4 separate regions of the Mus musculus genome follow, and all the other regions are reported to be linked to region 3. The links are microRNA targets in miRTarBase. Many come from high-throughput screens and were not tested one by one. Region 3 holds a microRNA gene; each other region holds the end of a gene's coding sequence.

Evidence for each region. The annotated mature microRNA mmu-miR-451a reads AAACCGUUACCAUUACUGAGUU and lies in region 3 at 2,228-2,249, opposite strand. An mRNA with a match to its seed (bases 2 to 7 or 8) in the 3' UTR can be bound and repressed. Matches are read on the target gene's strand: a 7mer-m8 pairs with bases 2 to 8, a 7mer-A1 pairs with bases 2 to 7 and ends in A, and an 8mer does both.
Region 1: the mRNA of Ik is a reported target of mmu-miR-451a. The part of its 3' UTR that is shown has no 7-base or 8-base seed match.
Region 2: the mRNA of Lsm14a is a reported target of mmu-miR-451a. The part of its 3' UTR that is shown has no 7-base or 8-base seed match.
Region 4: the mRNA of Prkaa1 is a reported target of mmu-miR-451a. The part of its 3' UTR that is shown has no 7-base or 8-base seed match.

The regions. Positions count from the first base shown.
Region 1 is chr18:36,756,966-36,760,103 of GRCm38, reverse strand. Ik (IK cytokine) reads right to left here. Exons shown (of 20, transcript NM_011879.2): 19 at 2,786-2,820; 20 at 2,465-2,697. The coding sequence ends at 2,670. Among named protein-coding and RNA genes, the nearest start is that of Wdr55, 1.7 kb to the left of the region's middle.
Region 2 is chr7:34,345,127-34,348,264 of GRCm38, forward strand. It overlaps Lsm14a (LSM14A mRNA processing body assembly factor), which reads right to left. Exons shown (of 11, transcript NM_025948.3): 10 at 2,800-2,856; 11 at 1-832. The coding sequence ends at 2,833. Among named protein-coding and RNA genes, the nearest start is that of Garre1, 33 kb to the left of the region's middle.
Region 3 is chr11:78,072,297-78,075,434 of GRCm38, reverse strand. It overlaps Mir451a (microRNA 451a), which reads right to left and starts at 2,265; the gene lies at 2,194-2,265. Eral1 (Era (G-protein)-like 1 (E. coli)) reads left to right here. Exons shown (of 10, transcript NM_022313.2): 7 at 1-44; 8 at 808-957; 9 at 1,075-1,155; 10 at 1,261-2,059. The coding sequence ends at 1,383. Mir144 (microRNA 144) reads right to left here and starts at 2,430; the gene lies at 2,365-2,430. Mir451b (microRNA 451b) reads left to right here and starts at 2,194; the gene lies at 2,194-2,265.
Region 4 is chr15:5,178,318-5,181,455 of GRCm38, forward strand. Prkaa1 (protein kinase, AMP-activated, alpha 1 catalytic subunit) reads left to right here. Exons shown (of 9, transcript NM_001013367.3): 9 at 371-3,138. The coding sequence ends at 615. Among named protein-coding and RNA genes, the nearest start is that of Ttc33, 5.7 kb to the right of the region's middle.

The sequences.
Region 1 (3,138 bases), not on the chromosome of region 3:
TTTGTTTCTTTAAATGAAGCCGAGTTACAGCTCACTAAAGTTTTCAGTTGTCTTGTTGGTGTATAAGTACGTTTTAAACACAAAGGCCAAGAGAAAAAGGAGCTAAGGAAGAAAGGCACTGCAGAACGTATAGGTGTGGTTTCAGAGGATGCCCTTCCGCCGGCCCCCAGCCAGGTTTTTTCGTGTGATATGAATTCCACGCCCGTCACGGCGCGAGTGTCGGAGATCAACCTTATGGAGTTGCTTCTCTCCTTCCACCCTTACGTACACTCAAGGGATTAAACTCCAATCTAAAAGTTTGCTCTACTACCAATTTATTGGCTATGCCATCTTGCTCCTTCACCCCCCACCCCGACCCATTTTACTTGACCTACAGTAGCCTGTGCTTCGAGCAGCTAGATTATGTGACCTTCAAGGCCTGCCCTCTCCCCCAAGCCGCTTCACATATTTGGAAACACCCTTAATTCGTCTCTCCACCCAGTCCTATCGTAACCGAACTAAGAGATCTGAGTTATTCCTGACTTGGTGATACCTAAAACCCAGGCTAGCAGCAGACAGGTTGCACAAGAAGGAACAGAAATCCACATATCCCTAAAGTTAATAGACAGGGACCATCAACAGGAGGCGGCCTGCACACATGCTCAAACTGTTACCCACACCAACATCTTCTAGCCTCCAGAGAAACAGTGAACATTTGTAGTTTAGCTCATGACCAAATTGTACTTAGGCTACCAGGAAAACAAGCATGACAGCTATGTTCTGGGTATTCCTTTTATCAAAGGTCCCAATAATAACAGTGTTTTGCATGGTGGGGCAGTCCCTGTGACAGGCTGAGAAGGGCCTGCTCAGATTTCTGTGCAACTATGCCTTCAAAGGCATATGGAGAACCTAAAGCTTAAAAAGTGAGGCGAGCTGAACATGGTAAGGAACACTTTTACTTGCGGGTGTGGGAGTACAGAGGCTCTTTTGATAATTCTAGGCCAGCTAGATATAGTGAGAACCCATTGAAAAGGAAAATAAAAAAATGAACATAAGGTGAGGTTAAGGGTTTCAAAGAGCAGAAATGCTCTATCTGCCTCGTGATTGGAGCATTAAGAGTACTTGCAGAAACAATATTAAATTGATAGTCAACCCTCAGATCTTAATTTTGACTCTAGGTGTCCATATGAATCATGTCTCTGTGACTTTTTCCTAATTAGAACTGTGGCCTACAACCATGGGACCAAGACATCATTTGTTTAAAGCCATCTCTAAGTACTGTTGAAGAGACAGCCCATTTTTTTACCTCTTAAGCGTTACTGGCAAAGTGGGGTTCCTTAAAAAGCACTTTCCTACAGCTGGGGCTTCAGTGGTAGAGTGCGTGTCTCGCATGCAGAGCTGAGTTTGATGTGCAACACCACCAAAACAAAAATACCCTTTCCTATCAAGATGAAAATGACCAAAGTAAGCCTAGTGGCATTCTAGCTTCCTTTGGATCTACAGATCATGAGCTCAGTATTCAGCCATAAAAAGTAGAGCGCCTAATGAATACCTAATGAACCCCAGACCAAAGTGCTGGCAAAGAGCAGAAAGGAGACTATTAGTAGACCTACCCTGGGCCTTGACAAACTCCTCAGGGTGAAGGATCAAAAGGATCCTCAAGGTACCTACCACCCATTAGTCTCTTAATCTTGACTCTAGGTGTTTAGCCAAGGTCTTGAGTTTAACTCAACACTATTAGTGCTCTTCAAAAGGCATAAATTCATGAAAGGATTTTGTTTCCACAGGTGAATTTCATTAATACAGCTTCATTAAGAGCTTGATCAAGCCTATGGAGCTGTGACAAGCTATCAGGATGATCTTAATCCACAGAGAATCTCTACTCTTGGATTAGGACCCTGGCCAGATAGGTCTGGCCATTCAACTTGATGATTCTCTTGCCCACCAGTGACTCTTTCTTCCCTTCTCCCCTGAAACTGGCTTAGTAAACAGCCTTAGTTCAATCAGTACAGGAAAAACACAGCAGACTCAATGAAAAGAAGAAATGAAAACACTTGACTTGACTGTTCCTAGATACGGTGGAGGTTTAGTGTAGATGAGGGAAGAGCATGCCAGAGGCATTTGGAAGGGTGAAATGAACAAGATCCTAACCCAGGCCATGTAAGGAGGTGACAGGAGGGAGGGAGTTACCTGGTTCAGCTGCCAAGTGGCCAAAAAGAGTTGTAACCAAAATGGATGGGTTATATAAGAATCAGAGAAGCTGAAAGAAAGGGAAGCCCAGGAGTTGAGGGTAAAGGTAAACGGTAGGGTATGACACCAGGAGGATCCTGGAACAGGTAGGGACTGAGGTATGTTGGGAGAACTGGCAGCCAACGTCAGCTCTGATATGCTGATAGGCACCTCAGATGAGACCTAACATTCAATACAACTTCTGGAACTCCGGAACTTCATGGGACCCTTAAGAAGGAATGCCCAACACAGAAAAGACAGCAGGTTTAACTACATTTAATGGAACATGCTGGACATGGTGTTGCATTGCCATTAATCTTAGCATGTGGGACACAGATCTATAAAGAGTTATACAATAAACATTTATAAACTTTCACAAACAACAACAGTTTGCAACCGTCTGAGGAATTGTAGAAGCAAGCAACTAAGAACAGCCACGTGGTGACAGCTGGAACTAGAGATTAGTACTTTGGTCTTTTCACTTCGACCCTGAAATCAAAAGAGAAGTAGATCAGCATAGGATCAGTATCCTGAACAGTTCTCACCAGGCCCAAAGACAAAGAGGGATGCCGCTTACCCATCTGCTTCCATCCTCTTCCTCTTCTCAATGATCTGTAAAAGGACAGCAGTAGTTTATACGCATGCTGTTAGTGATCTAAGTCCACCTAAAGCTCAAAGATGACCTCTCTCAGTTTCCATGACTGCTCCACCACCTATTCCTGGATCTGTCAATGTCTCTTCTCAACTGAAACCCTCCCACCTAAGAAAGAGTCCACTATGCCGGTGGTGACGCACGCCTTTAATCCAAATACTCAGGAGGCAGAGGCAGGCAGATTCCTGAGTTCAAGGACAGCTTGATCTACAGAGTGAGTTCCAGGACAGCCAAGACTACACACAGAAACCATCTCGAAAAAACAAAACAACAACAAA
Region 2 (3,138 bases), not on the chromosome of region 3:
ACTTTAGTCCAAACAGTACAAAGGAAATCAAAAACCTTAAGCCTGGAAAGCAAGGGGAAAGACCCACCCATATCCCTGCTCCTCAGCACACTGACTTCTGCAAGGACACGTATGTTTGCTGACTTTAAAACGTTTATTCTTTAAAAAATTAGTTGCTTTTTATACAGCTATACAAAGTTCTTAATGTTTCTTTGGCAATGGAATATAATGGAATTTTACAACTATATAAAAAAGTTACCTTTGCCTAAGAAACAGTATTTACCTGTGTGTACATAGTTGACTGACAAAATTCTCTACCATCCAGCACCCTAATTAAGTGTCGAAATAAGCTACCTCATATTATAGGATCTCCAAAAAGAAAAAGACACGCACATACACGCGCGCGCGCACACACACATACATACACACACACACGCACAAAACCTTCTGTGGCTCAAAACACAGTATCACGGCCTATCTGCAGGCAATTGGAAGTAATTGCCGAATACAATTAATTAGTGATAAGAAAATCCTTTCAGTGATGAAAAAATACTTAGCAGTTCCATTTAGCTGGCTTTAGTTCAACTCTAAACAAGGAATCACAACCATCTGCTACTCCACATACACTTATACTTGTGTTTTAAGACGAGCCTTCCTGCCCCAAAGCAACTGCAGTGTAGCTTTGAAATGAAGCAGAAAACAGACAAAACCCAGTGCTGGTGACAGGCAAGACAGCAACTTCACTTCTTCATTCTTCACAAAGACTGAAAGCACTTTCCAGGACCATGAAGAGCTAGGAGTCACCTATTTTCAAAGACTTGTTTGTAGACTATGCAGCAACTTTGTTGTCTTTCTAAAAAGGAAAAGACGTATTAGTTCATGTTCCAAGCCATGGCTCTTCCTTAGTCTGCTTAAGTTTACTTCTGTTACCTTAATACACCCTTCCTCTTATTTCACAGAAAAAATTTCTGTCCTACTGTCCTACTGGTTCTTGGGCAGCACTGCTCTAATGTCCACATTCAACTCTCTGCTTACTCTCTGTATGTCCTAGTCAGCAGAGGCTGCAGGAGTGGCTGGCCTATCAAGCAGGCACGCCACTCTGCAATACGGGGAGACCTTACTACCTTTGGTTGCCCCAACATTATAAACACAACAGTTACATGAGCTGTCACATGGTCACTCAAAAACTCTTTTGAAACAAGTTTCATAAAATCCCTAAATTTTGACACCTTTTACCAAGCAATACAACAATCCAGAAGGTAAAGTAGTATTTCTCCCTAAAATTGCATGATAGGAGAAAGCAGTATTGGACTTGAAATATATTTAAAAAAAAAACAAACTTTAAAATATATTTAGCTTGTTTCGCTTGTATTATCTGTGTGTATGTCTGTTTTCGCAGAGGCCAGGAGAAGGTACTGGGTCCCTGGAGCTGGAGGTACAGGTGGTGTAAGAGATCCGAGCAGCCCAATACGAGTACTGGAACCCACACTTGGGTCTTCTGCAAGAGCAGCAAGCACTCTGAACTGTTAAGCTTTATCTCTACCTCCCCAAAATACTTCCTCCTAAAGGGTTAAGATGTACCTTACTTCGCAAGCCTTAACCTAGCATGCAGGAAGCCCTTGGCTTTATCTCCACCATCATGTAAGTTGTGGTGGCGCATGCCTCTATGGACATGTAGTCAAGAGAAAAATTCAGTCATCCTTTGTTACACAGCAAGCTCTAGGCCATTTTAAGCCATATAAGATCAGGCCTTAAAAAAAAATCTTTGTAAGCTAATAAAAATTAAAAAACAAAACAAAACTCTTAAATTTGAAATAAGTTTGAAAAACAATTTTAACTGGGAAAATTAAACACCATAACCAATAAGAAATACAAACTAGCTCTGAAGGAGGTTCCAGTGAGATCAACCCTAAACTCAAAGTTTACTTTGTAGCCAGGGACTTCTGTTTCCTCTCAGACACGCAGTTACTACATAGTCCATTCATTCCCTTTATCTTTTCAGGTGTGGATAAAAACTACACATGAGTGTTTATGTGTCTACATGTGTAGGAAACATGTTGAAATCTCTTTGTACTTATGCTCTTTAGGGTCTAACCACTATCTGCATACTATCACCCTGCATGGCTGTATTACATCATCTGCAGGTTATAATAACTATCTGCATACTATCACCCTGCATGGCTGTATTACAAGTCATCTGCAGGTTATAATAACTATCTGCATACTATCACCCTGCATGGCTGTATTACGTCATCTGCAGGTTAGATACAGCTTAGCTTGTGGAGCATAAGTGAAGCTCCATGTTCAATCCCTAGCGTCCACAAACAGGTAAGAGGATATGATGGGTTCTATGTAAATACAGTATCTAGGGACTTGAGCATGAATGGATTTTGGGATTTATAGGGATTTTGGAGCCAATCCCCCTCATACACAGAATGATGGCCATACCTATCCCCCCCACCCCCCGCCTCCCCAAGAGACAGGGTTTTTCTGTGTAACTGCCCTGGCTGACCTGGAATTCAGAAATTCTTCTGCCTCTGCCTCCCAACTGTTGGGATTAAAGGTGTGTACAACCACACCCTGTACCACATCTAATTTTTACAGATGTACATCCCAGTTACAGGAGGTCAGCTACTTCCTAGTTGAAAAACTTCCTCTGAGGGTACAATACCAAACTGTGTGTTCTGTTACTTTAAACTGAAACACACATGGCAACGTACAAGCTGGTCTAGAAACAAGTACCAAACTAAAGATAGCCCTCTGTCCCCACCAAACCAACCTTCACACCTCCCAATTTCTTTCTTTCTTTTCTTTTTTTACCTTTCAGAAAGCAGTATGACCAATCCAGACCTTTTAGGGTCCAAAAGCCGTGGTTTTCTGAAAGGTTAAAAAAAAAGATAGGAGAAAGACAGGGAGAGAAAGGGGGTAAGGGAGGGAGAAGAAAATAAAAGGGGAAGGAAAGAGACTGAGTCATTTCAGATTCTTCCCACACCCGCCCAAATTTAAAAACAGAAACAAAAAAACCTCCATATATATCATTTGTCTCTCTGTGTATGCATGCCTGTGGAAGCCAGAGGACTGCCTGGCACTGGAGTTACAGGCAGATATGACATGGGTGTTGGTAACCAAACTGAGTCACCTCCAGTCTCCATTCCAAAT
Region 3 (3,138 bases):
TCATGTTATCAGCACTAAACAACAAGGATGTGAACACATTGAAGGTCAGTTAGCCTTGCCCATAATCCACCACTTCTACCATGTTACGATAGGCCTCATCCAGACCAGCCTGATATCCACCGAGATCCTGTCTTTTAAAAGACAAAACAAAACTCTGGCTCTGGTCATTTATGTTTGTAATCCCCGAATTTGAAAGGCCAAGGCAAGAGAATCAGGATTTCAAGGTCATTTTTAACCACATAGTGAATTCAAGAATAGCTTCAGTTACAATGAGACCCTGTCTCAGGAAACAGAAAACAGCCAGGGGTGGTGGCACACAGCTGTTATCCCAGCACTCAGGAGGCAGAGGTAGAAGGATTACTCAGTTTGAGGTCAACCTGGTTTCCATTGTGAGTTCTAGGCCAGCCAAGCAACATAGAGACCAGAAACAAAGTTAGGAATGTATCTCAGTTGGTAGAATGCTTGTCTCGTGTGCTGGATTCAGTATCTAGCCCCACATAAGCTGGACACACACGTGGGTGCACACCTGCTACTATAGCATTTAGGAGATAGAGACAGGAAGATTGGAGGCTCATTCCCAGCCTGGACAAACGAGGATGGACAAGGCCAGCTTGATCTGCCTGAGATGCTCTCTTAAAGGTGTTTCAGTCAGTTGTGGCAGCTCGCCCCTGTAGTCAGCTACTATGTAGTAATTTTAAGGTCAGCTTGGGCTACATGAGGATGGGTCATAGCCTTTTCCTCCTAGAAGCATGCATAAACAAATGTTCTGATGGGGGTTAAGAACCTACTCTTCCTTTGTTCCCACAGCAATACCTTCTGACACAGGCCCAGCCAGGACCCTGGGAGTTCCACAGTGGTGTGCTCACTAGCCAGACACCCGAAGAGATCTGTGCCAATAAAATCAGAGAGAAGCTCTTAGAGTACCTGCCTGAGGAGGTGCCCTACGGTGTGCAGCAGGTGTGGGCAGAGGAAAAGGACACAGTGCCTGTATACCAGGCACACCCCTGGAACAGTTGGGTACCAAGAGATACAGAGATGAGCCTGCCTGATTAGTCCTGATGTCTCCTTATACAGAAGACAGTGATATGGGAGGAAGGACCAAGTGGAGAGCTAGTGATCCAACAGAACCTTCTGGTGCCCAAAGAATCTCATGTGGTAAGTGAGGGATGCTCAGAGAAGGGTAGCAGTGTTACCCATGGCCTCTTCCCCATCTGTGAGGCCAAGAGCAGAACCATGTGCCTCTCTTTTCACTACTTGCAGAGGATCCTGATTGGTCAGAAGGGCCTCTTGATCTCCCAGATTGCACAGGAGGTGGGCCGGGACCTCATGGACATCTTCCACTGTGACGTTCTCATCCGCCTCTCTGTGAAACTCCTCAAATGACCATCCTCTGTTGCTTCTCCCAGTGGATCCCTGCTCAAGCTGCTGGCAGAGTCACTGACTAGAACTACCCCTGTCAGAGGGGTCTACAGGACTGGGAAGGGCCATGGACACTGACTGGTTTCCATTGTGAGGGACCCATAGCTACAGCTGCATATGTAGCAGAGGATGGCCTAGTCGGTCGGTCATCAATGGGAGGAGAGGCCCTTGGTCCTGTGAAGGTCCTGTGCCAGCCAGCCTGGCATTGCCGAGTCTGCACAGTGCTTGCCCAACCATGTTTCCACTTAGCTCAGTTCTCGGGGCGTTCCTCTGCCTAGGGTCTCAGTCAGTTGTATAGGATACATGCTGAACCACACCCTAGAACCCATGGTTCTAAGTCATGTCCACCCCGCTAGCATTGGAACCAAACTCTTGCCCTGAGTTTCCAGTTGTTGGTAGGAACACAATTTTTCTCTTCTCCCCCAAGTTCCTCACCTTGAAGTTGCATAAGGACCCGTGTTTCCTTTTTCTTTTATTATTATTATTATTTTTTTTTTTGAGACCGGGTTCTTACCCTACAACTCTGACTGGCTGGCTATCTCTACATAGATCAGGCTAGCTTTAAACTCACAAAGGTCCTCCCATCCCATCCAACCACCCAGCCTCGGATGCTAATAAAGTTAAATGACAAGTGCTCTTATTCTTATCTTTTATTTCTTTGGCACAGTGAAGAGGAAAATGTACCCTTTCCCCCAACCCCATTCTCTTGTCAGCCTGGGTGTCCTTTTCTTCCAGCAGTCTGCTCCAGGGTCATGAGCTCTTCTTGGCACAGTTTGTGGGAGCAGCAAGAGAACCGTTACCATTACTAAACTCAGTAATGGTAACGGTTTCCTCGCCATTCCCAAGTGCCACAGCTGTCAGCAGGCTTGATTAGGCCGAGCAGTGAGCCCGTGTACTTCTGCATCTCTGCTGCAAACCAGGCAGGCTCTGGAGGTGGGGTACCCAGACTAGTACATCATCTATACTGTAGTGTCTCATCACAAACTTACAGTATATGATGATATCCCAGCCAAGGTCCTGGAGGAGGAGGTGAGCAGCAGGCCTGGAGTGAGCCAGGGGATTGGCTCAGGGTCAGTCAGGGACACCTAAGTCCCTACCTCTGCTCCTCCACTTCCCTCCCAGAGCAGCATCTCCCTGATCCTGTGGTCCAGGATAACCCCAGGTGGCTTAGAGAAGGAAGCTAAGGTCTACTCGGGTCTCTTAGGGATCCAGAGTTACAGGCAGAAACGAAGTTGTGAGGCAGGAGCTTCCCTCTGGGCAGACCTATAAGCAGGCTGACAGCCACTCCAAGGACTGCTTACCTGGAGCTGGAGTGGAGCTGGAGCCTCGTCCAGGGAATCCTCTGCACAGGGAGAGCCTGCCTTGTCTCTTCTCACTCAAGCAGCTTGGCTTTTAACCCTCTGGCCCCTCCCCTGGGTGGGGCACGTTTTCCCGGGTTCTAGAAGTCCCTGCTTCTTAACTCTTTGCCTGCTGGCTTCCTGAGACAAGCTGAGGCTTGGCTCCCTTTTTGTTTATCTTCTGCTTAGTTTCCTGTGCTGGGAATGAAACTGAAGGCTGAAGATGCTAGCCAAGAACCCCAACACTGACACTACACCGCCACCCTGCCTCCCGTCTTCTAAGTGGGTGACCATTCACCCCCAACCCCACAAAGAAGGTTACCTGCCTACCCCACTGGGCTAGGAAAGAGAAAGACCCTCACCACGTCCTTCAGGGCTTAGT
Region 4 (3,138 bases), not on the chromosome of region 3:
ACTCCCAGAGTTGTCTTTGCCTCCTAATTGATGGGACTAAAGGTGTGCTTGCCACTACCCAGTGAGTCTGTGGTTTTAATAAATATCTCCTAGCAGTGATATTAATTTACAGGTTATTAGTTTACTGTTTCTTAGTTGGTGTGAAAGTCAAGAGTGCTATACTATGTATCCCATGTTGACTGGCCATTGTATGTATTTTTTGTGCTGTGTGTAGAAGTGGTAAGGTGCTTTACAAAGGCACGCTTGCTCTATTTGAGAATGTAAATAAAACCAGTGTGCTTTGGAGAACTGGTTAGTAGTCTCACTTAGGTGCTGCTTAAACACTTGAGGGAGAAATAGATAATAAAACATTGAAATTCTTTCCACCCAGATGAGATTACAGAAGCCAAATCAGGGACTGCTACTCCACAGAGATCGGGATCCATCAGCAACTATCGATCTTGCCAAAGGAGTGACTCTGATGCCGAAGCTCAAGGAAAGCCCTCAGACGTCTCCCTTACCTCATCTGTCACCTCCCTCGACTCCTCCCCTGTCGACGTAGCTCCAAGACCAGGAAGTCATACAATAGAATTTTTTGAAATGTGTGCAAATCTAATTAAAATTCTTGCACAGTAAACCTAAAATTTTGCTTATTTCTTTGATGCAATAAGCATGCATAATAAATAATAGCCAAATACTTCCACTTACCAAGTTATATATATGTGTGTATATAACTGAGGATTGGCCTTTTGGAATGCAGTTTGCACAGGGACTGGAAAACGATTGATCGTTAAAAGCCTGATGTGCAGAATTGAATGAGGATCACTCTGTTATCCCGTATTCAGTAGGTACACACAGCGTAACACACACACAATGGACTGTAGGTCTCAAGCTTACTTGACTTTTGGCCATTTGAATTTGCTGTAACAGGTCTCAGTCGACCATAAATTTACCATAAAGCCTTCACATATTAGTACATGTTGATGTATTTTATATTAGCTTCATGAATTTATTGAGTTGCCTGGAATCCTCATAGACCTTATTAGATAATGCTGTTTTCTGGGCTCCTTAACTTCCAAAATAGCTACTAGTTTCCATTTTTGGTTACATTGTGAACTATTTCCATATTCCTCTTAACATGCTATTTTTGTGTAGTAAGTCATTTCAGAGAGCAGTCTGGATTTAACATTTTTCTTTGGCTTGTGAGCCCCCAAAGCCCCAGAATTTATATGTTCAGACCCTCCAAGCCCTGAATTTACTTTTTCAGGTTTGCCCTTTTATATATGAAGTGCTGCTTTGGATCCAAGAGCCGAGTTGCTCACACTGTAGTGAATCGTGTTGCTTCTGTCAGTGCACAGAGACGCTATCATGTCAGCCAGTGTTGAATGTCTTTGGTATTTTCTAAGCCAATCCAGTGCATAGAAAGGACAGTGTTTATACGCTCTGAATGCTAGGATTGGGGTTTTAGCCCCTGATTTTATTCTGGACAATTTTTAAAGAAAGAAAAGTTGCAAGAATTTAGTGACTGCATGTGTATTTACTACTTAGCTCCTACAACTACTGTTTGGCCATATTTGCTCTCTAGATCCACACATGTATAATATACAGATATGCACATATATTCGAGTATATGTTTGCTTTTATTCTGAACCACTGAGATGTTAAGGTATATATATATATATATATATACCAGCCCTGAATACTTCAGCACTTCCTAAAAATAATAATAATGTCCTTTAGAAACCTTCTGAAACCATTATAAAATCAATAATTTCCAGATAGTGCCTGGTTTTCCAGATTAGCTGTAACTGCCCAGAATTCCATTTAAGTTACAGCCTGATTTTATTTGCAGTTCTTTAATCAGGTTAATAACACTATTTTGAAAAGATGTAGAAGAAATCCTTTCTTCAAACTGGCCAAGTTTATTTCAGGTTTTAATTCAAAATAATGAGTGGCTAAAGAAGTGTGATTTTTCTTCAATCTCTGATTTATATGCCTCTCTCCTTTTAGTGGTAGCATAGCATAATGGGTGTAAGTGAAGATTTAAGTCACGCTAGACAAAGCCGGTATTGTGTGAGCTAATAATTAATGTCATATTGGCCATATTTGGTTTCCTTTAAGTTTAGGAAATTGGTCAGAGGCTCTAGCCCAGTGGTGAGGCTGGGTCATCTCCAGCAACGTGAAACAAAATGCATTTTCTTTAAACATTAACCATCCCCCCTTTGTAAGAGAGACTTTTCCCCCCACTGCATTCATTTAAAAATATTTTGCCCCATCCCCAAACCTGTCCAGCACTTATGTAAGAACGCATTTGGAGGACATGATAGCTTGCATAAAAGATGACGCTATAGTTTATGCACTGATTTCCGGACAAAAATGATGCTTCTTTTTGTTCGGGGCTTGTTTTATTCAACTCCGAATTGAATGCTGTATAAAGTAATGGAGACTCCATTTACCTGAGTTCCTGACTGTATTTATACCTGTGTGTTTGTGCCCTCTGTGTGGGGCTCCCTGATGTCACGTATGCTGTCTGAATGCAGCGCTGTATTCCCGCTGTGTAGAACAGAAGGCTGCATTTGTAAAGTTATAGATTTGTAAATAAAACTGAGGAATATCTCTATAAACTGTTGGGGGGACGGGGCACAAAAGGAGGAGCCAACTAAATAGGACCTTCTAAAATTTGTTAATTTTGTAATCTTTGCTTCTTTTATAAGTTATTCTGTGATTCCTTTTAGTTACCGAGTTTTATTTTGAAGACATTAAAATATTGCACTTGTATAAATAGTATGATAAATGCAGACTATTGCAGTCAAATTTTTTAAAAGCTAGGATATCTGAAATGACAACTTTCAGTTAAGTATGTCAAGCCCAGGACAGGATTTTCACAAATGTATTGTAGTTTGCAAATTCTTACACTGAAAATGTAAAGGGAGTCAATGCAAATGATTTTTAATCTTTTTTTTATTATCTTTTCAGCAATTTATATTTTCTTGTGATTTTATGCAACCATATTTTTACTTTGTCTTGACAACTGAAAGCTGTGTGATGTTTTTGACAGAAAAGTACTGTATACATAGTTTTAAATATAACAGATTTTGCTGATATGTAAAAATTTTGCCATTAAAGTTGATTTCTCATGAAAGGAACTTTTCTACCAAG